Linked DNA regions of Callithrix jacchus. The protein of the gene in region 2 binds, or shares a complex with, the protein of the main gene of each other region. Links are inferred from orthologs where the notes say so. Each region holds a gene or a part of one and is shown on either strand. Other genes may lie near its edges.

Region 1 (9,865 bases), on a different chromosome or scaffold from region 2:
CATGTATCACCTGTCTGCTTTCGCACCACTACAGCATAGTTTAGTAGCTGCAACAGGGACGATAAAAGGCCACAAAGCTTGAACTATTTACTGCATGGCCCTTTCCAGAAAAAAATCTGATACCTGCTATAGGGACAGAGATAGCTTGACGGTTGCCAGGGTAAAAGGTGGGGAAGGAGTTGACCACAAGGGAATTTTTTGGAGGATGATGTAGTTGTTAGTTGTGGTGGTGGTGACTTGACTGCATTTGTCAAAACTCAGAACTGTACACCAAAGAGTAGATTTTTAATTATTTTAAAATAAATGTTTGGGGGTTTTTCTTTCTTCTTAGAAGATTTAGTAATAGTAACCTAAAAATTAAATGTTAATAAACAAGAGGCACAGAAAACACCGGTGGCTGCTAGAGGGCAGGAGACAAGTCTGAGTATGGGGGCATTGGGGAATGTCATGGGTGATGGAACTGTCCTGCCTAGCGATTGGTGATAAAACCATACATTTGTCCAAATTCACAGACTAGACACTAAAAAGGGTGACTTTACTGAATGTAAATTATAAACTTTTTATTCTTAATTATTTTTTAATTTTTCCTTCATGCAGAGTAACTTCAGGAAATAAACTTTTTTGTTTTTAAAAAAGAAATAATGAAGGCTGGGTGCAGTGGCTCACACCTGTAATCCCAGCACTTTGGGAGGCCAAGGAGGGCAGATCACTTGAGGTCAAGAGTTTGAGACTAGCTTGGTCAACAAGGTGAAACCTCGTCTCTACTAGAATTATAAAAATTCATCAGGCGTGGTGGCACATGCCTATAATCCCAGCTACTTGGGAGGCTGAGCAAGAGAATCGCTTGAATCTGGGAGGCAGAAGCTGCAGTGAGCCAAGATGGCACAACAGAGAATCTGTCTTTAAAAAAAAAAAAAAAAGATAATGAAAAAAGAAAAGAAGAGCTAAACATTTACCCTATGTGAGAAAAAAAAAATTGGGCTTATGATAGGTTTGCTCTTAGACAGTAAAAGCAAGTGCCAGGAATTTAAAGCAAAGAACAGTGAGATGAGAAAGATCTTAAACATACAGTGTTTTGCAATTTTTTTTAGAACAACAAGCTTATACAAGAGGTAAGACTTACTTTGTATTTGATTTGATAATTTGACTTGGAATTTTTCTGTGGGAATAAAAGTGTTAGAATGCTTATTTTTAAATTTCAAAAAATTTGTAGGCAGTAACCAAGGCCTCAGAGCCATGGAGGGCTCTAAAACTAGTTCCATAAAGCATTTTACTGTAAAAATACATACAGATCTTTAACAGAAAAGTATATTTCTTTACAGTAGAAAAATATTTGAACAACTTTTCTTAAAAGACAAAAATTCAAATGTAACATATGACCAGCTAAAACTGAATCTAGCTGTTTATAAGAACTGATTCCAAAATATACATATATGAAAATTTACATAACTGATACGTGGAAGCTCTTTAAAATTGATTGTAAATTTAAAAGTTAAAGTAGGCCTTGCCTCTACAGTTTGGAGCTGCAGATCAGCCGGCAATGGCTGCCGGTCTCAGCTGCTTTCTTGGTGCCTGAGCTGCAGAGTGGGCCTGTCGAGAGGCTGTCGTCTGGGTCACTCTCCCTCTGGCTGTTTATGGCGTAGGTGCATGAGGCACTCAGTCTTGGCCTGGAAAGATGCTAACGGTGTGCAGTGTTGTGTATGCTTGGAGACAGTGGAGCGGGTCCAGGGCAGTCCTCACCAGGCTGGTTCTAAAGCACTTTTTTGGTTTAGGATTCGGCTTCATCATGGTCACTTTCATTATCACTGTCATTCTCCTCATCTTCTTCCCTCTTTTCTTCTTTAAGCATTTTCAGGTATTTACTAGCTAAAATCTTCTTTGGTAATATATCTTAAAAACATAAAGTTTACATCAGCCATTATGGTAGACTATGAACACAGTAATGCAAATTTCAAAATGTACTATTTCCTGATTTGACCTCTACAAGAGTTTCCAAAACAAGATGAAATTGAGACTATACTTCTGGGTAAAATATCAGGGAAACTAGCACTGTCTCCTAACGAATGCTATAGGACTATTTCCATTTCACTCAGTACAAACCATGGTGTCTCTATGAGCCGCTTTATGAGCAACCCTGCCCAATTAGCTGAGATAGACTAAACTGGCCCAGGGCAGACTTAAGCTCTTTCTAACTATAGGCATGTACACTTACCCTGAGCTTTCCCTCCCGTCGTAGGAAGAAGGGAAAGGACTGCCCAGCACACGCAGCCAACCAGCATCTTGTGCATGCTATTGGCTTCATTTTATTGTTCTAGGTGGACTACATTACAAACACATTCAGACAAGACTAAAAGTATCTTCCAGTGACAGCTCATAGTACCTTTGAGGCTTGGAAAAAGTAGCAAAAAGTCTAATTCCTTCAAAGCAGAAGGGAGGCAAGGGGTATGGGAGTAGCTATTGCTGACTATTCATTTTTCAACCAGAATGTTTCAAAGACTAAGTACCTGTAAGAAACTGAAAAGTTTCTGATTCCTCTGCAGTGTTTGCTAAATCACTGTAAGTCAGTACTTTCTTTTCCTTTCCACTGCCATGTCTGTAGGAATAGGTAGCTAGATATTGAACAAAGAGCTCCTAAAAAAAAAAAAGAAAAAGTAAAATGAAAGATGTGCTTTGAAAATTTACCCCAGAGCTCAATTTTTAAAATTATGCTGTTGATAAGCTTATAACAGGCTTAAAATTACATTAAGACTTCAGATTATCTTGGTTTCTCAAATTAAATTACAAGAAATCACTGGGGAGGCCAGACATGGTGGCTCACACCCAGTAATACCAACACCTTGGGAAGCTGAGCCAGGCGGATCACTTGAGATCAGGAGTTTGAGACCAGACTGGCCAACATGGTGAAACCCCATCTCTACTAAAAATTCAAAAATTAGTTGGGCATGGTGGCAGGTGCCTGTAATCCCAGCCACTTGGGAGGCTGAGGAAGGAGAATCACTTGAACTTGGGACGTGGAGGTTGGAAGTTGCAGCACTCTAACCTGTGCAAAAGAGTGAGACTCCGTCTTAAAAACAAATAAATAAATATATCACTGGGGAAAGGAAAAACATGAGGTCAGAAAGCAAGCAAGGCTGGTATCAAAATTGGCGGAGAAGCAGGCATTTTCCAGAGTCTTAGATGTCTAACTTATGAAAAATACGAATCATAACTGTTCAATGAGCAACCTCTAGAGTAAAAGAAGCAAAAAGCCATTCAAAAATTCTGTTTGGCTCAGGAATACATTTTGTCTTCTATTTGCATACACTGTTTCTAAGGTGGTTCACCTATAACGATAGTGACCACACCTCCTATTCTGCTGACTTTTCTAGAACTGACAATCCTCAGACCTAATGCAACAACCGGACATCTTCCCCTCCCCAACCACAGTTCTTAAAGCAGGGCCAGGTCTTCATTTTTACAGAGGATAAACTAAGCCTCTTCCTCAAGGTTTTGATTTCAATGCATCTAGTTCAGTTAATAAGGGATGAGGATGGGCATGGTGGCTCAAGCCTGTAATCCCAGCATTTTGGGAGGCCAAGACAGACGGATCACCTGAGGTCAGGTGTTCAAGACCAATTTGGGCAACATCGTGAAACCCTGTCTCTACCAAAAAAAAAATACAAAAATCAGCCGAGTGTCATGGCGGGTGGCTGTAATCCCAGCGAGTAGGGAGGCTGAGGTTGCAGTGAGCAAGATCTGCACTGCACTCCAGCCTGGGGAACAGAGTGAGACTCCGTATCAAAAAAATTAATTAGAAATCTTAAGTGCCTGCATAAATCCTCATTCCCTAAAAGTAATAAAATGAAATTGTACAGGAAAACACAAATGTCCCCAGGTGAAATGCTGAATATGTAATTACTTCCCTGGGCTCTAGGAAAACATGGCTCTGGTATAATACAGCAGGCGAGAAATCTGTAATTTCCCATTTCCCTTAGTTCTGGTCGAACACTGTAGGGACATTATGTACTTAAATACAAGCCGGGACTGGGAAATAGGATCTAAGACAAGTTAAAGCCTTTAACTGTGTAGCTAAAACATGGCCCAGTCTCAGAACAGAAAAACATCTAGCCTAACACTATCAACACGCAATGTTTTTTAAAAAGACAAAATCTATTTTGTACCCAGGAGGATGCTTAAGAGGCTATAAATCTAGGTCCCCTAGACTTCCTTAAATTCTGGCTGGGGGATGTGCTTTCTCTTAGAGGAGGTGCCAGGTGTGGTGCGGAGCGGGGGGCTCGAAAGCCTGGGAGCGCTGGAGCTGGCGCCTGACCCGCGGGAGAAAAGCCTCGAGCCTTGGGTGGAGCGCCCGGCTGCCCCTCCCACGGAACACTGGAGGAGTTAGGACCCTCAAAGAAAGAAGCAGACCAACGGCAAGAAAAAGGAAGGCCAGGAATAGGGAGTCGCGGGTGAAAGAGCCGCCAAAGAAACCAAATGAGGCCAACTCCACTTGGCGCCGAAGTCTACGGGTAGGGCCGGAAGCTGAGCGCGGTGCGCGAGGGACTACGGGAGCATACAGGTGGGCGGAACAAAAGGCGCGCAAGGGAACTTGGGAGCTTATGGGTTTGCGGGACGGAAACACGCGATGGAGGGCGGGAGCGCGACGGGGTGGACGGGGCCGAAGGTGCGCGAGGAAAGGAGGAGCGAAAAGAGCGAGAAAGGGCGGGAGCGGGTCGCGGTGTATGGGACGAAGAAACTAGAGACAGGGAGGGAGCGGCGCGGGGTGGGCGGGGCGAAGACGCGCGAGAAAGGGAGGGGGTGCCGCGGGTAGGGGCGCGCTGCCACTCCGGCGCGCGCCGGCGTGGGAGGGAGAGGGGGGGCGTGGGAGGGAGAGGGGGGGCGCGCGCGAGCCCGGTAAGGGCAGCGGGAGGCGCTCGGGTCTAAGGGGACTGGACAGTGCCGGGAGCCTGGCGGGGCGGGGCGCAACGAGCAAAGGCGGCCCCACCCCCGCCCCCTCACCGTGGCCTTGGCCGTGAGCACCAGCGCCTCCTGGTTGATGCTGGACACCTCTGGGGAGCTCTTCATGATGACCCGGATGCGTGACAAGGGCAGCGAGACGAGCCGCTGCTCCCCGCACTTGTCTTTGCCCACGACCACGTCCGCCATCTTCCCGCTCATTGCGCGGGCGGCAGCCGGCGGGCCCGACCGCGAAGTGGCTGTCTTACCCGGCCAGCCGGTGGGTGCGAGGAGCCGCGCCCGCTGCCCCGTGGGAGTTGTAGTGTGGGGAGGCGCGGTCGCGCGGCCGGGAGCGGCCTCTTCGGGAGACTACGAACCCCGTGATGCCTCGCGCGCGCGCCCTGCGCATGCGCTGGCGCTCGGACCCTGCCCCCCCTTCTCCCACCCCCGCGCCGAGTGCGAGGCCCGACGCGGGCTGGGCGGAGGCGTCCCACTCAGGAGCCTGCGAACCGTGATCGCGGGACGGGATTTTGAGGTCCAGGGCGCTGCGAATGGGCAAGCAAAGCTCTTTGAGTCCGAGCCTCATCGCTCGGTGCTGTGTGTTAAGCGCCTGCGCTGTGCCAGGGCCGGGCGTGGTGCCGTGGACTTTCCTGCAGCACAGAGTCGTCGGGGGACGGCCAAGCGGACTAGCGAAGGCGTCCTGCACCAGTAGCTAGGCGGCCCGTGGAGGAGCAGAGAGCAGCAGCGCGGGCGATGCGGCGAGGCCGGGCTCGCTGCGCCGCGGGGTAATGGGGAGAAGCGCCTTCCTGTGGGCGGGGCTGGGGGAGCTGCCCTGAGGAGGGTCCGGAGCCCGCGGCAACTGCCTCTCCGGGACTGCTCCGAGAGAAGGCGTCCAGAGCCGGGTGTGCTCGCTGAGGTCTGACAGGCAGCCCGGGGCTAGGTCCTGATGGATTTTTTTCTCTGAAAAAAATGGGAAGTCGTGGAAGGCTTTGAGCTAAGGAGTCCCGGACAGTTTTAAAAGGATCCCTGCAGCTGCCAGCTGGGAGGGCGTGGGAGCGCGTAAGGGCGGAATCATCGAGACCAGGTAGAAAGTAATTAGAACCCGGGAACGTGGCCCTCAGGAGGCCGGCTGGACCAAGGGGACAGCAGCTGAGAGGAGAGTGGCAGGAGATGGTTAGGGGCCAGAACAGGGAGTGCCTTGGGGACCTCAGAATTCACTCCTTTAGAGCGGGGAGGCCCTTGGAAAAGTAAGGGGTCCAACTTAACTTTTACCAGGATCTTGGAAAGTGGTAGGATTTGGGGTCTGAGTTCAAGAGGGAGCTGAGGTGACGTGGACTACAGCACAGCTTTCTGAGGTATCAGAAAGGCCTCGGTAAAGAGCCGTGTACTCAGGGAGCACTGTGGCAGGAGCACATTTTGGCATAGGTTTGAATTGGAGCCTGTTGAGTGTAGTGTCTTCTTCACCACTGTGACCTCAGGTCCCGGCCCAAATAATTGAGCACAGAAATACATGTCAGGCATTGCTAGCGCAAGGGTTCAACCGGTGAGCAGGGCTGCCATGGCCCCTGCCCTCTTACAGCTGACGTGCGTGTCTGAGGGAGACTGAAAAATAACACCTCCGGTCAGGCGCGGTGGCTCACGCCTGTAATCCCAGCACCTTGGGAGTCCTAGGCGGCTTGATCACCTGACGTCAAGAGTTTGAGACCAGCCTGACCAATATGGTGAGACCCGGTGTCTTCTGAAAATAAGAAAATTAGCTGGGGGTGGTGGTGGGCTGAGGCAGGAGAATGGCTGGAATCCGGGAGGCAAAAGTTGCAGTGAGCTAAGATCGCGCCACTGCACTCCAGCCTAGGCGACAGAGGAAGACTCAGTCTCAAAAACAAACCCCAATGCCGAATGCTACGAAGAAAACAAAATCACGTGCAAGTGATAGAATTAGCCTCTCTGAGAAGTATCATTTGTGCCCAGATCTGAAGAAAGAAAAGGAGCCAACCATACAGGAAGACTGAGACAAGGTGAGCTTTCAAACAAGCCAGACTGGGGAGAACACCTCAGAGGAAAATGTCCGGTCAGATTAAGGAATCGAAAAGCCAGTGTGGCTGGAGCTTAGCGATGGAGGCAGACAGCACGGGAGACTTGTTTACGAGGTGGGTGGTGGGACTGGCTCCCGCATGGGTCAGAAGCTTGGCTTTCATTTCAAGAGCAATGGAAAATAAGACGTTTGAAGTCGAGGTGGCACATGCCTGTAATCCCAGCACTTTGGGAAGTTTAAAGCAGGCAGATCGCTTGAGCTGAGCCCGGGAGTTTGAGATTAGCCTGAGAAGCATAGCAAGACAGCATCTCTACAAAAAATTTAAAATTAATAGGGCATCGTGGCGAGAACTTGTGTTCCCAGCTACTCTGGAGGCTGAGGCAGGAGAATGGCTTAAGCCCATCAGGTCAAGGCTGCAATGAGTGGTGATTTCGCCACTGCACTCCAGCCTGAACTACAGAGCAAGATCCTATCTCACAAAAAAATTAAGGGGAGGCTGAGGCAGGTGGATCACAGGTCAGGAGTTGAAGACCAGTTTGGTCAGCATAGTGAAACCCCATCTCTACTAAAAATACAAAAATTAGCCGGGCATGGTGGTGTGTGCCTGTAGTCCCAGCTACTTGGGAGGCTGAGGCAGGAGAATTGTGTGAACCTGGGAGGCAGAGGTTGTGGTGAGCCAAGATCACATCACTGCACTCCAGTCTGGGCAACAGAGTGAGACTCCGTCTCAAAAAAATAAAAATAGGCTGGGCGCGGTGGCTCATGCCTATAATCCCAGCGCTTTGGGAGGCCGAGGCGGGTGGATCACGAGGTTAAGAGATCGAGACCATCCTGGTCAACAAGGTGAAACCCCGTCTCTACTAAAAATACAAAAATTAGCTGGGCATGGTGGTGCGTGCCTGTGGTCCCAGCTACTCGGGAGGCTGAGGCAGGAGAATTGCTTGAACCCAGGAGGCGGAGGTTGCGGTGAGCGGAGATAGCGCCATTGCACTCCAGCCTGGATAACAACAGCGAAGCTCCGTCTCAAAAATAAAAAATAAAAAAGAGTTTTGGGCCTGGCTCAGTGACTCACGCCTGTTATCCCAGCACTTTGGGAGGCTAAGGTGGGCAGATCATGAGATCAGGAGTGTCTACTAAAAATACAAAAATGAGCCAGACATTGTGGCATGCACCTGTAGTACCAGCTACTCAGGAGACTGAGGCAGGAGAATCACTTGAACCCAGGAGGTGGAGGTTGCAGTGAGCTGAGATCACACCACTGCACTCCAGCCTGGGCAACAGAGCAACACTTTGTCTCAAAAAGAAAAAGCTTTTAAGGTAGCAGATCCACTTTAAAAGCACACACTGGTTCTTGAGTGATGACAAAATGGCACTGCCTTGTGTAGAGCCTACTCCTGGGAGTTTGCACAGACAGGAGGTGGAGCTTCATCCTCAGGACTGTGCTCCTAGTCTTTCTCTCCTGACCTTGCCTCTGTAAGTGAGAAAGCCCTTGACATTCACAGAAGACAAGGGCGGGGAACTGCTACACGAAAGCAGCTACACAGGAGGGTCCTTTGGTCCACACAGGAAACAAGCCATAGTGATGACATACCTGCTGAGGCTGTTAAATGTTTTGTTTCCCCAGCTGGCTGTTGTCTTTTATATGGCTTGTCTTTCTGTTTTGAGTATGTGTGAGAGCAGGCTGGGTTAACGTTAGGAAAGATCACAGGATAAGAGGAAGGAAGGAAGAGCCAAAAGAAGTCAAGGAGAAGAGGGATGAGAAGCTAGGCTTGTAGAATTGGCAGGTGATGTTTGCAGTCATTGATCATATGAGAAGTAGAGAGAAGCCAAGCAGGAAATCTTGACTGGAAAAGAAGTGCTCACCATTTTTTTTTTTTTTTTTAAAGCAAGCTCGGTGCAATTGCTCATACCTGTACAAATCCAACACTTTTGCAGGCCGAGGTGGGAGAAACGCTTCAAGCCAGGGGTTTGAGACCAGCCTGGGCAATATAACAAGACCCCCAATCTCTTAAAAAAAAAAAAAAAAAGGACAGCAGAATTAAAGACTGTTATTCTTGAGAACTTTCCGGCTCTGGAAAAAGCTCAGTGAGTTAGTCTCATTCTGCTGTTAGCTCCGTTTTCTAGAGGCCCACTTTGTCTTCACGACAGTGCCTCTGTACCATTCTCATGGGCATCCCAGGGTGCTGCAAGGCAGTTTTCTGCATTCCCCAGAGTGTCCTGTCAGCTGGCTTCTGGGTAGGTTCTGCAAATGGGAGGCCTCTATGAGAGACTGCAGTGGGGTCGGAGGAAGAAGCCTTGTTTATCTGCCTGCTGGCTGCAGGGTAGTGACTGCAGTGTGGGGTTATAGGGATCACCACCTGCACATAGGGTGCTTTAAGCGTCTTCACTCTAGGTTTCTGCTCAACAGCAGCAGCTCCTCGAGTCCCTTGGGGGTGAGTGTGGGCTCCTGGGCTTGGGGCCAGGGGCAGTCGCAGCTTCCTAATCTCTAGGTAGCATCTCTTCCTTTTTGCTGCAGAGTACCTCTCCCTTCTCAGTTACACTCCGCCAACTCCAGCAACACCCTTGAAAACAATTCTGGCCTGGGTGCCTGGGTGTGGTGACTCAGGCCTGACATCCCAACACTTTGGAAGGCTGAGGCAGGCGGCTTACTTGAGGTCAGGAGTGTGAGACCAGTCTGACCAACATGGTGAAAGCCGTCTCTACTAAAAATACAAAAATTAACCGGGTGTGGTGGCGCACTCCTGTGATCCTAGCTACGTGGGAGACTGAGACAGGAGAATCGCTTGAACCCGGGAGGCAGAGAGGGCAGTGAACTGAGATCTCACCACTGCACTCCAGCCTTAGCACCAAAGCAAGACTCCTCAAAAAAAAAAAAAAAGAGCTAAGAAGTTTCTGCCTTCC
Region 2 (9,868 bases):
ACTTTAGGAGGCAGAGGCAGTCAGATCAGGAGTTTGAGGTCAGGAGTTTGAGACCAGCCTGCCAACATGGTGAAACTCCATCTCTACCAAAAATATAAAAATTAGCTGGGCATGGTGGTGCTCACCTGTAATCCCAGCTATTTGGGAGGGTGAGGCAGGAGAATTGCTTGAACCTGGGAGGTGGAGGTTGCAGTGAGCTGAGACTGCGCCACTGCACTCCAGCCTGGGCGACAGTGAGACTTTGCCTCAAAAAATAAAAATTAAAATTAAATAAAATACCATTTCAGTTTTATGAGAGGACACATTAATATGGCATATCATAGCTAATAGCAAAATTAGAAATAATTTAGATTTTTACTAATGCTTCGTATAGTTAATTGTTTCCAACTAAAATATATCAAGTTTATTGATAAAACTTAATATTCAACTACATCTTAGAAAGACTTTTGTCTTGTTTTGGCAGTTGTTAATCACTTAGCACCTAAATTATCTCTAGAGCATGACTAGATTTCATGATAATACCACATTTTCCCTTAATTGCTACTATCCAATCCATAAAAATCTTGTTTTTTCTTTTAACTCTCTTAAATTTTGAGTTTCCTAATTTTCCTATCATTACTACTATCACCAATCCAATTCAAACCAATCAGCTCATGCTTGAAATAGTACCGCTTAATCTGCCTATATTTTCTTTCTTCTCTCGAGCAGCTCTCCACACTACAGTGTTGTTTTAAAAATAAAATCTAGGCCGGGCACAGTGGCTCATGCCTGTAATCCCAGCACTTTGGGAGGCCAAGGTGGGTGGATCACGAGGTCCAGAGATCGAGACCATCCTGGCCAACACGGTGAAACCCCGTCTCTACTAAAAATACAAAAAAATTATCTGGGTGTGGTGGCGCGCCCCTGTAGTCCCAGCTACTTGGGAGGCTGAAGCAAGAGAATTGCTTGAACCCGGGAGGCGGAGGTTGCAGTGAGCTGAGATCACGCCACTGCACTCCAGCCTGGCGCCTGGTGACAGAGTGAGACTCTGTCTCAAATAAATAAATAAATAATAAAATAAAATCTAATCATGTCACTGAATATAAGTCTGTAAATTCTTCCCCATTGTTGTTAAAGCTAAAACTCTTTAGGCTGGGAGTGGTGGCTGACACCTGTAATCTTAGCACTTTGAGAGGCTGAAGCAGGTCTATCACTTGAGGTCAGGAGTTTGAGACCAGCCTGGCCAACATGGTGAAACTTCATCTCTTCTAAAAATACAAAATTAGGACCAGGCATCGTGGCTCTTGCCTGTAATCCCAGTGCTTTGGGAGGCTGAGGCAGGCGGATCACAAGGTCAGGAGTTTCAGACCAGCCTGGCAAACAGGTGAAACCCTCTCTCTACTAAAAATACAAAAAATTAGCTGGGCGTGGTGGCGGGTGCCTGTAATCCCAGCTACTCAGGAGGCTTAGGCAGGAGAATCACTTGAACCTGGGAGGCAGAAGTTGCAGTGAGCCGAGACTTCACCACTGCATTCCAACCTGGGCAACAGTGAGAGACTCCATCTCAAAAAATAAATAAAATAAAATAAAATACAAAATAAAAACACAAATTAGCTGGGTGTAGTGGTGCATGCCTGTAATCCCAGCTACGTGGGAGACTGAGGCAGGAGAATCACCTGAACCCAGGAGGCAGAGGTTGCAGTGAGCCCAGATCGTGCCACTGCACTCCAGCTTGCCCGAGAGAGTGAGACCCTGTCTGAAAAACAAAAACAAACAAAAAACAACAATAGAAAAACTCTTTAGCACAGCCTTCAAAACCTTAGCCATTCTGTCTGTCATCTACTCATTAGCTTCCTGTTATAATACATTCTTTTGGCTTCCTTCTCTAGCCACGCTCTCCACTTCTCCCCCTTCTCCCTGGCTTTTTTTTTTTTCCTTTTTTTTTTTTTTGAGACAGGTTCTTACTCTGTTGCCCAAGCTGAAGTGCAGTGGTGAGATCCTGGCTCACTGTAACCTCTGCCTCCCAGGCTCAAGTAATTCTCCAGCCTCAGCCTCCCAAGTAGCTGGGACTACAGGCATGTGCCACCACATCTGGCTAGGTTTTGTTGTTGTTGTTGTTCTGTTTTGGTAGAGATGGGGAATCTCACTATGTTGGCTGGGGTGGTCTTGAATTCCTGGCCTGAAGCGATCCTTCAGCCTCGGTCCACCTAAACTCTGGGATTTCAGGAATGAGCCATCAAGCTCGGCCAATGATAACATTTTTACTAGAATACATCAATGCCACTTTGAACTGCTACTATAAAATCACAATGGAAATAGCAGATAGCAATTATTGAATGCTTACTATGTGCTAGGCACTGTGTCAAGAGCAATACATACAATACCTCTTTTAATCTTCTGAGTAAGTATTGCTAAGCCCATTTTACTAAGAAGAAAATGAAGGCTCAGAGAAGATGTCATGCTCAAAGTCATACAACTATTTTTTTTTTTTTCGAGACAGAGTTTCGCTCTTGTTACCCAGGCTGGAGTGCAATGGCGCGATCTGGGCTCACCACAACCTCCACCTCCTGGGTTCAGGCAATTCTGCTGCCTCAGCCTCCCGAGTAGCTGGGATTACAGGCACATGCCACCATGCCCAGCTAATTTTTTGTATTTTTAGTAGAGACGGGGTTTCATCATGTTGACCAGGATGGTCTCGATCTCTTGACCTCGTGATCCACCAGCCTTGGCCTCCCAAAGTGCTGGGATTATAGGCTTGAGCCACCGTGCCCGGCCGTCATACAACTATTAAGTGATAGAGACAGTATAGCCAATATTCAACCCAGGTCTATCTGACTCACTTCTGATTTCTCTCTCTGTCCTTTCTTAACCACAAGTATCTGTACGCTAGGACTCACTAGGACATCATAAGTTATTTGAGCTAATGCACCGTTAGAGAAGGAACATGGGCTTTGGTGTTAGACCAGCTTTGAATTTGAGACCCAGCTCTGGCACAGACCAGCCATTTGATCTTAGACAAGTTACATCACCCTCTCTCTCCACTCCCACCCTAAATCTTAGGTTCTATATCTATAAATTGGAAATAATATCAGCCATCTTACAAGGTTGCCATAAAAATTAGGTATAATGTATATAAAGTGCTTGGCACATCAATGGTATTCAATAAATCACTTTTTTTTTTTTGAGACGGAGTTTAGCTCTTGTTACCCAGGTTGGAGTGCAATGGTGTGATCTCGGCTCACCACAACCTCCGCCTCCTGGGTTCAAGCAATTCTCCTGCCTCAGCCTCCCAAGTAGCCGGGATTACAGGCACGCGCCACCATGCCCAGCTAATTTTTTGTATTTTGAGTAGAGACGGGGTTTCACCATGTTGACCAGGATGGTCTCGATCTCTTAACCTCATGATCCACCCGCCTCCCAAAGTGCTGGGATTACAGGCTTGAGCCACCACGCCCGGCCCTAATAAATCACTTTTTATCATTGAATTATACAATGACTTTATTTGTTCAGTAATTGATATATTTGGCAACATTATGTTTTAGATTTTGAAGGATAGTCTATTCTGTGATTCAGAAACATTGTCACCAGAGATATATTTGTCAGAGTATGTGTCCTTTTTTTTGTTTAGAGAAAAAGTATTTATTTCTCTTAAAGTGGTAAGTCTATAAAACATGCCTAATAAACCCATGATTAGTAACTGAATAATTATACAGCATAAACAAATGCATGAAGAATCCACAAGTAATCAGAAAAATATACTTTATATGAATCAGAAAGAATAAGTAGAGTTCATCAAATTACTTGAGTTTTATCTCTGATTCATTAAGTTCTGAAACATAGGTACAATTTAATGTTTACAATTTAACCAAATAATGAAAATGGAACATCCGTTGTCTGCACCCTTAAATGTAAAGTTACTGATCAAAAAGTTTTGGTCACCATTTATATAAGCAAAATAAATGAGCAAATATGTTTACTAAATGATGCACAATATATGTTCATATTCATGTGGAATTTTTTTTTAAATGTATTTAATTGAAAAGAGTAGGCCAGGTGCAGTGGCTCACGGCTGTAATCTTAGCACTCTGGGATGCCATCATGGGTGGATCACTTGAGGCCAGGAGTTTGAGACCAGCCTGGCCAACATGGTTAAACCCTGTCTCTACTAAAAATACAAAATTAATAATTCCAGCTACTTGGGAGGCTGAGGCAGGATAATCGCTTGAACCCTGAAGGGAGAGGTTGCGGTGAGCTGAGATCACACCATTGTACTCCAACCTGGGCAACAAAAGTGAAATTCCAACTCAAAAAAAAGAAGAAGGGAGAAGGAGAACAAGGAGAAGAAGAAGGAGAAGAAGGAGAAGAAGAATGGAGGATTAATGGGAAAAACAACTTCATCTGTTTCACAATTTTTCTAAAGAAATCTGGAGTAATTTATACACAGTTGATTCCAAACAGTATTCAAATAAGATAGTCAGGTCCTAAATGCCAAATACAGTTAAAGACAACAAAAGCTGTAAATAGCTAAAAAATACAAATTACCTTTTTTGGGGGGCTGTTGGAAAGTTATAGGCTGAATTTCATATTGCTGTGACTATGTTCTATTTACTGGCTTTTTCCTTTCAGCAGTTAAAAACCAGTAACCTACAGGAAAACAGTAGTATAATCTCAACATTCTATTAAACTTGGTCACGGCCAGGCTTACGCCTATAATCCTATCACTTTGGGAGGCTGAGGCAGGCAGATCACCTGAGTTCAGGGGTTCGAGACCAGCCTGGCTAACATGGCAAAACCCTGTCTCTACTAAAAATACAAAAATCAGTTGGGTGTGGTGATACATGCGTGTAATCCCAGCTACTCGGGAGGCTGAGGCAGGAGAATGGCTTGAACCCAGGTGCAAGAGGTTGCAGTGAGCGGAGATTGCACCATTGCACTAGTGGCTGAGCCACAAGTGGTAAGGTCAGTTATTGTAATTCATAGTGAAGTAAAGGTGTATGTGTGTTTTGTAAATTTTTCTTCTTTTGCATACAGACTGGGGGGTGGGGGGGTCTCACTGTGTTGCCCAAGCTGATCCCAAACTCTTGGGCTCAAGCAATCCTCATGCCTTGGTCTCCCAAAGCGCTGGGATTAGAGGCATGAGTCACCATGCCTGGCCAGGTATGGCATGCTTTTAATCCCTTTTGTTAGAGAAGATGAAATTACTGAACAATTAAATAAATTATTAGAGAAAAACATATTCTTTTTTTATTCATTATATGAATTCTAATAAATGGGCTACAATCGGGTATTGAGTTCAAAATCTGAAAATGTAAGATAGAGTACCTGGGGGAGGGTACATGTCCATAATTTCTGTCTGTTTCAGATATATGCAGGGATGCCAGGGACAGGGAAAAAAAAAGCATATATTCAAATAGGTCCTGGGGGGACAAATGAGTACATAAACCTCTCCTCAAAGAACAGAAGCCCCCTTCCTTTTTTTTTTTTTGGTTTTTATTTTTATATGTCTATGTCTTTCTAAAGCCCCATTTTCTAAAGCATGGGGCTTTAGAAAAACCACCACCACAGACACACAATAGGGATGACATTGCTTAGGGGCTTCTAAGCATCATTTCAAGTCTGAATCTGGAATATCCTCTTGGCAATTTGAAGAAAGGTAGAAAGGTGAGCTTTACCTAATAGTGTAGCAAAGAACTACAACAGATAAAAAGAGCAGTTTTTATGGTGGTCACTCATTTATTACCTGAAGTTAGGTAGGCTTGGATTTAAATCCTATCTCTGGCACTTAATGGCTACAACTAAACAGTGTGTGTATATCAGTTAATATCTCTGCCTATTTCCTGATCTGTAAATGGAGTTAATAATAGTGCCTACCTCGGAGGATTGTTCTGAGGATCAAATAAGATAGGTGCCTGGCATGAGCAAATTTTATTATTAATTATCTTCCCTACCACTGTTCTTAAGTTGGAAAAAGCAGATTTTGAGGCAGATCATAAAATATGTTACAGGTAGATATTTCTAAAGTCAAATCTACCTTTAGCATGGACTGTATGCCCTAAAACCAAAACTTACATCATAATATCAAAATGTTTAAATGGCTATCTTGTTATTTCTCTACCTTGATATAAATTGTCTTTATCTTCCATCTGCAGACTCTTTAGAAGTTTGTAAGCCAGGCAAGTCAGGCACTGTGGCTTATGCCTGTAATCCTAACACTTTGGGAGGCTGAGGCAGGAGGATTAGTTGAGCCCAGGAGTTCCATACTGGCCTGGGAAACATGGTGAGACCTTGTCTCTACAAAAAAACTTCTTAAAATTTCACCTAGTGTGGTGTTACACACCTGTAGTTCCAGCTACTTGGGAGACTGAGGTGGGAAGATCGCTTGAACCCGGGAGGTTGAGGATGCGATGAGCCAAGATCACCCCACTGAACCCCAGGTTTTACTGAGAGTAAAACCCTATCTCAAAAAAAAAAAATAAAAGAAGTTTGTAGGAAGAAATACTTCAGCAAAGAAATTGACCTACTTTTTGAGGAAAATTATATAATTTTAGCAGCTGAAAAAAAGAGCTCAGCAACTTGATTACTATATTGTTTCCATCTTCTAAGCAACAAACAATATTTTCAAGCTGGAAAAAATATCAAAATACTTCTGGGATGCTGCCGTCTAGGTACCCCAGATAAAACTCTTTAACATTGTTCATACCCCTGGGACAGATGTTAAACTTTGCATATCTATAATACCAGTGCAGTATTAGATATTCTGAACTTTAAGACCAGCTATTTTCACACACAGAAGTTCATGTGCCCCATTCCAATCCATTTCTCTCATATTACAATCAGTTTGTATTGGTTGGGGATATATTTCTCCTGCCAAATAAGAAGTAAACTCCTTTGTTATTCAACTTTGTCCAAGTTCAGCACATTATGATGCTTCGTTTATGTATGTTAAATGAACAATGTAAGATGGACTAAAAGCCCATAATACATGAAAATATGATAAATATTACCTCTCTCTTCTACAGAATTCAAGACTCCAGGACTCTGGAGATATTGAAAGAATTCGCCCAGTGATTTCAGAACCAGCATTAGTAATCTCTGAGAAATTATGTTAAGAATGAGGTAGGAGTGATCAGTTTCTGGAAAAGTGTAGACTGACAACTTTCCAAATTTTCAATAGTCTAATAGTCTTTTCCACATGGTGGAAAGTTTGAATCCAAGAGCCTGCAACATTCTGTAGCAGTTTATTAAGCATTGGCTTATGTGTATTTATAGAAGTACGCAGTCATCATTAGAAGCCAACATGGGTGGCCGGGCAAAGTGGCTCACACCTGTAATCCCAGCACTTTGGGAGGCTGAGATGGGCAGATCACCTGAGATCAGGATTTCAAGACCAGCCTGACCAACGTGGAGAAACCCCATCTCTATTAAAACTACAAAATTAGCTAGGCGTGGTGGCACATGCCTGTAATCCCAGATACTCGGGAGGCTGAGGCAGAAGAATTACTTGAACTTGGGAGGTGGAAGTTGCAGTGAGCTGAGATAGTGCCATTGCACTCTAGCCTGGGCAATAAGTGTGGAAAAAAAAAAAAAAGAAGCTGGCCGGGCGTGGTGGCTCAAGCCTATAATCCCAGCACTTTGGGAGGCTGAGGCGGGTAGATCACGAGGTCAAGAGATCAAGACCATCCTGGTCAACATGGTGAAACCCCGTCTCTACTAAAAATACAAAAATTAGGTGGGCATGGTAGTGCGTGTCTGTAATCCCAGCTACTCAGGAGGCTGAGGCGGGAGAATTGCTTGAACCCAGGAGGCGGAGGTTGTGGTGAGCAGAGATCGTGCCATTGCACTCCAGCCTGGGTAACAAGAGCGAAACTCCGTTTCAAAAAAAAAAACATGGGCGCTTAGAATTTCATTCAAAATGAATCCCTTTTCCTTTATTTTGCTAAGGTTTCTGGGTTGGCATATCAGAGGAATTCTATGGCATGCTGTCACTAATCACCATGGTGGAAGAAGAGCTGACCACTGTGATAAGACTATTTGTAAGTATGGAATTTTAACAGTACAAAAGAACAAAAATCTCCCAAACTGAAGCTGCAACTAGTAGGTGAGAGATCAAATTTAGTTGTTGTTTTTGAGACAGTGTCTTGCTCTGTTGCTCAGGCTGGAGTGCAGCAGCTCAATATCAGCTCACTAAAACCTGTGCCTCCCACGTTCAAATGTTTCTGGTGCCTCAGCCTCCCAAGTAGCTGGGACTATAGGTCGTGGGCCACCACACCCAGCTAACTTTTGCTTTAGTAGAGACAGGATTTCACCATGTTGCCCAGGCTGGTCTCAAACCCCTGGCCTCAAGTGATCCACCCACTTCAGCCTCCCAAAGTGCTGGGATTACAGGTGTGAGCTACCACACCTGGCCAGAAGGAATCAATTTATATCAGGTTTATGTACAAGAATATTTAAGTATATGTAAGGCAGAAGAACAGGAACACAGGCAGATACAAATCTGTGGCTCCTTATTAAACTGAGTAGGCAAATCACAACATTTTATTAGATGTCGGAATGAAGATGAAGAAGAGGTGGTTAAGTTATCAGAAGACAAGAGTTGTCCATTAAGGAAACCAAACAAATGGCAAGGCAAAAAGCCAAGCCAGGCAGATGCAATAGTTAAAAAGTTCTGGGGATGCAAGTTGCAGGGATGATGTTTTCAGATCACTGTTGTTTTCTGACGACACCTCATCAGATGATAAAGGCATTCTTTCTGGTTTTTAAAGTAACTAGGACCCTGACAACGGCAAGCTGTAATCCTAGAGCACTGTTTTTCAACCACGGCTGCAATTAGGGGTTTGTAAAAATACCAATGCCAAGGGTTTCAACCCCAGGCCAATTAAATCAATCTCTGGGGTTGCAACTCAGTCCTCAGTATTTTTTAAAAACTCCTCCAGGTGAATTTAATGTAAGCAAAAGTTATAGATTATTATCCTAGAGGGAAATCTCTATAGCACACTGCTTTCAAATTTTGATGTGCATACAAATTGCTTTGTGAGCCTTGTTAAAATGCAGGGTTTAAATTAATAAGCTTGAGTTACTAATCTCAGGCCTGAGATTCAGGATTTATAATAACCAAGAAATACTGGGAGGCTGGACCACAGATCACACCTAGAGTAATAAGGGTCTAAGAGATGCTGCAAGACTCCCTTTCTGGCCCTTTTTTGGTTCAGAATCTTAGATTAGATTAAGATTACAGCTTAAAAAATCTACAGGTATGGTTATTAAATATGATTATGCAAAAAGAGATGGCAAACAGTTTTAGTTTAGAATTAAGATTCAAAAATATTTTCACAAGTTGAAATAAACAAGACAAAATATACTCCTTTTTTTCTTTTTAAAAATCAATGTGATCCCAATGTTACTCCTTTACAAAAAAAAAATCAAAAAACAAAAAACTAAGTCAGGGTCTTACTGTCACCATGGCTAGGGTGCAGTGGTACAGTCATAGCTCACTATAACTTCAAACTCCTTGGCTCAAGCAATCTTCCTATGTTGGCCTCCTTAGGCACTGAGATTACAGGTGTGAACCACCATGCCTGGATCAAAATTTATTCCTTAATAGGGACAATTTAAAGTCTATCATATAAGCTAATTCTGAAAAAAAGAAGATACTAAGATATGTTATAAAGTAATAATAATTTCACAGTGTGGTAATTGGTTATAAGTAGATTAATTACATTGAATAGTTAGTAGAGAAATGCATATTAAAACAAGACATTTGGAATATGATGAAAGTGTTTAGATGAGGGAGGATTAGTCAATTAATTGAAGTGAAGCAAAAGAAAAAAATATTCATCTTGGGGGAAAAGTGAGATCCATATTTCACACCTTACCTTAGGATAAATTCCAC

What was found.
Region 1: BAZ1A (region 2) and CHRAC1 share a complex: the UniProt entries of both Homo sapiens proteins name them as parts of the CHRAC ISWI chromatin remodeling complex. The link is inferred for Callithrix jacchus from reciprocal best matches to the Homo sapiens genes BAZ1A and CHRAC1.

Annotation. Positions count from the first base shown.
Region 1 is NC_133517.1:57,026,007-57,035,871, forward strand, and holds the start of CHRAC1 (chromatin accessibility complex protein 1), read right to left. Parts: upstream 5,221-9,865; 5' UTR 5,155-5,220; coding exon 4,996-5,154; intron 4,556-4,995; exon of another isoform or gene 4,240-4,555; intron 2,632-4,239; coding exon 2,505-2,631; intron 1,891-2,504; coding exon 1,769-1,890; 3' UTR 1-1,768. UniProt on the Homo sapiens protein: Forms a complex with DNA polymerase epsilon subunit POLE3 and binds naked DNA, which is then incorporated into chromatin, aided by the nucleosome remodeling activity of ISWI/SNF2H and ACF1.
Region 2 is NC_133509.1:69,377,251-69,387,118, forward strand, and holds the start of BAZ1A (bromodomain adjacent to zinc finger domain protein 1A), read right to left. Parts: upstream 4,583-9,868; 5' UTR 4,522-4,582; intron 1-4,521. UniProt on the Homo sapiens protein: Regulatory subunit of the ATP-dependent ACF-1 and ACF-5 ISWI chromatin remodeling complexes, which form ordered nucleosome arrays on chromatin and slide edge- and center-positioned histone octamers away from their original location on the DNA template to facilitate access to DNA during DNA-templated processes such as DNA replication, transcription, and repair.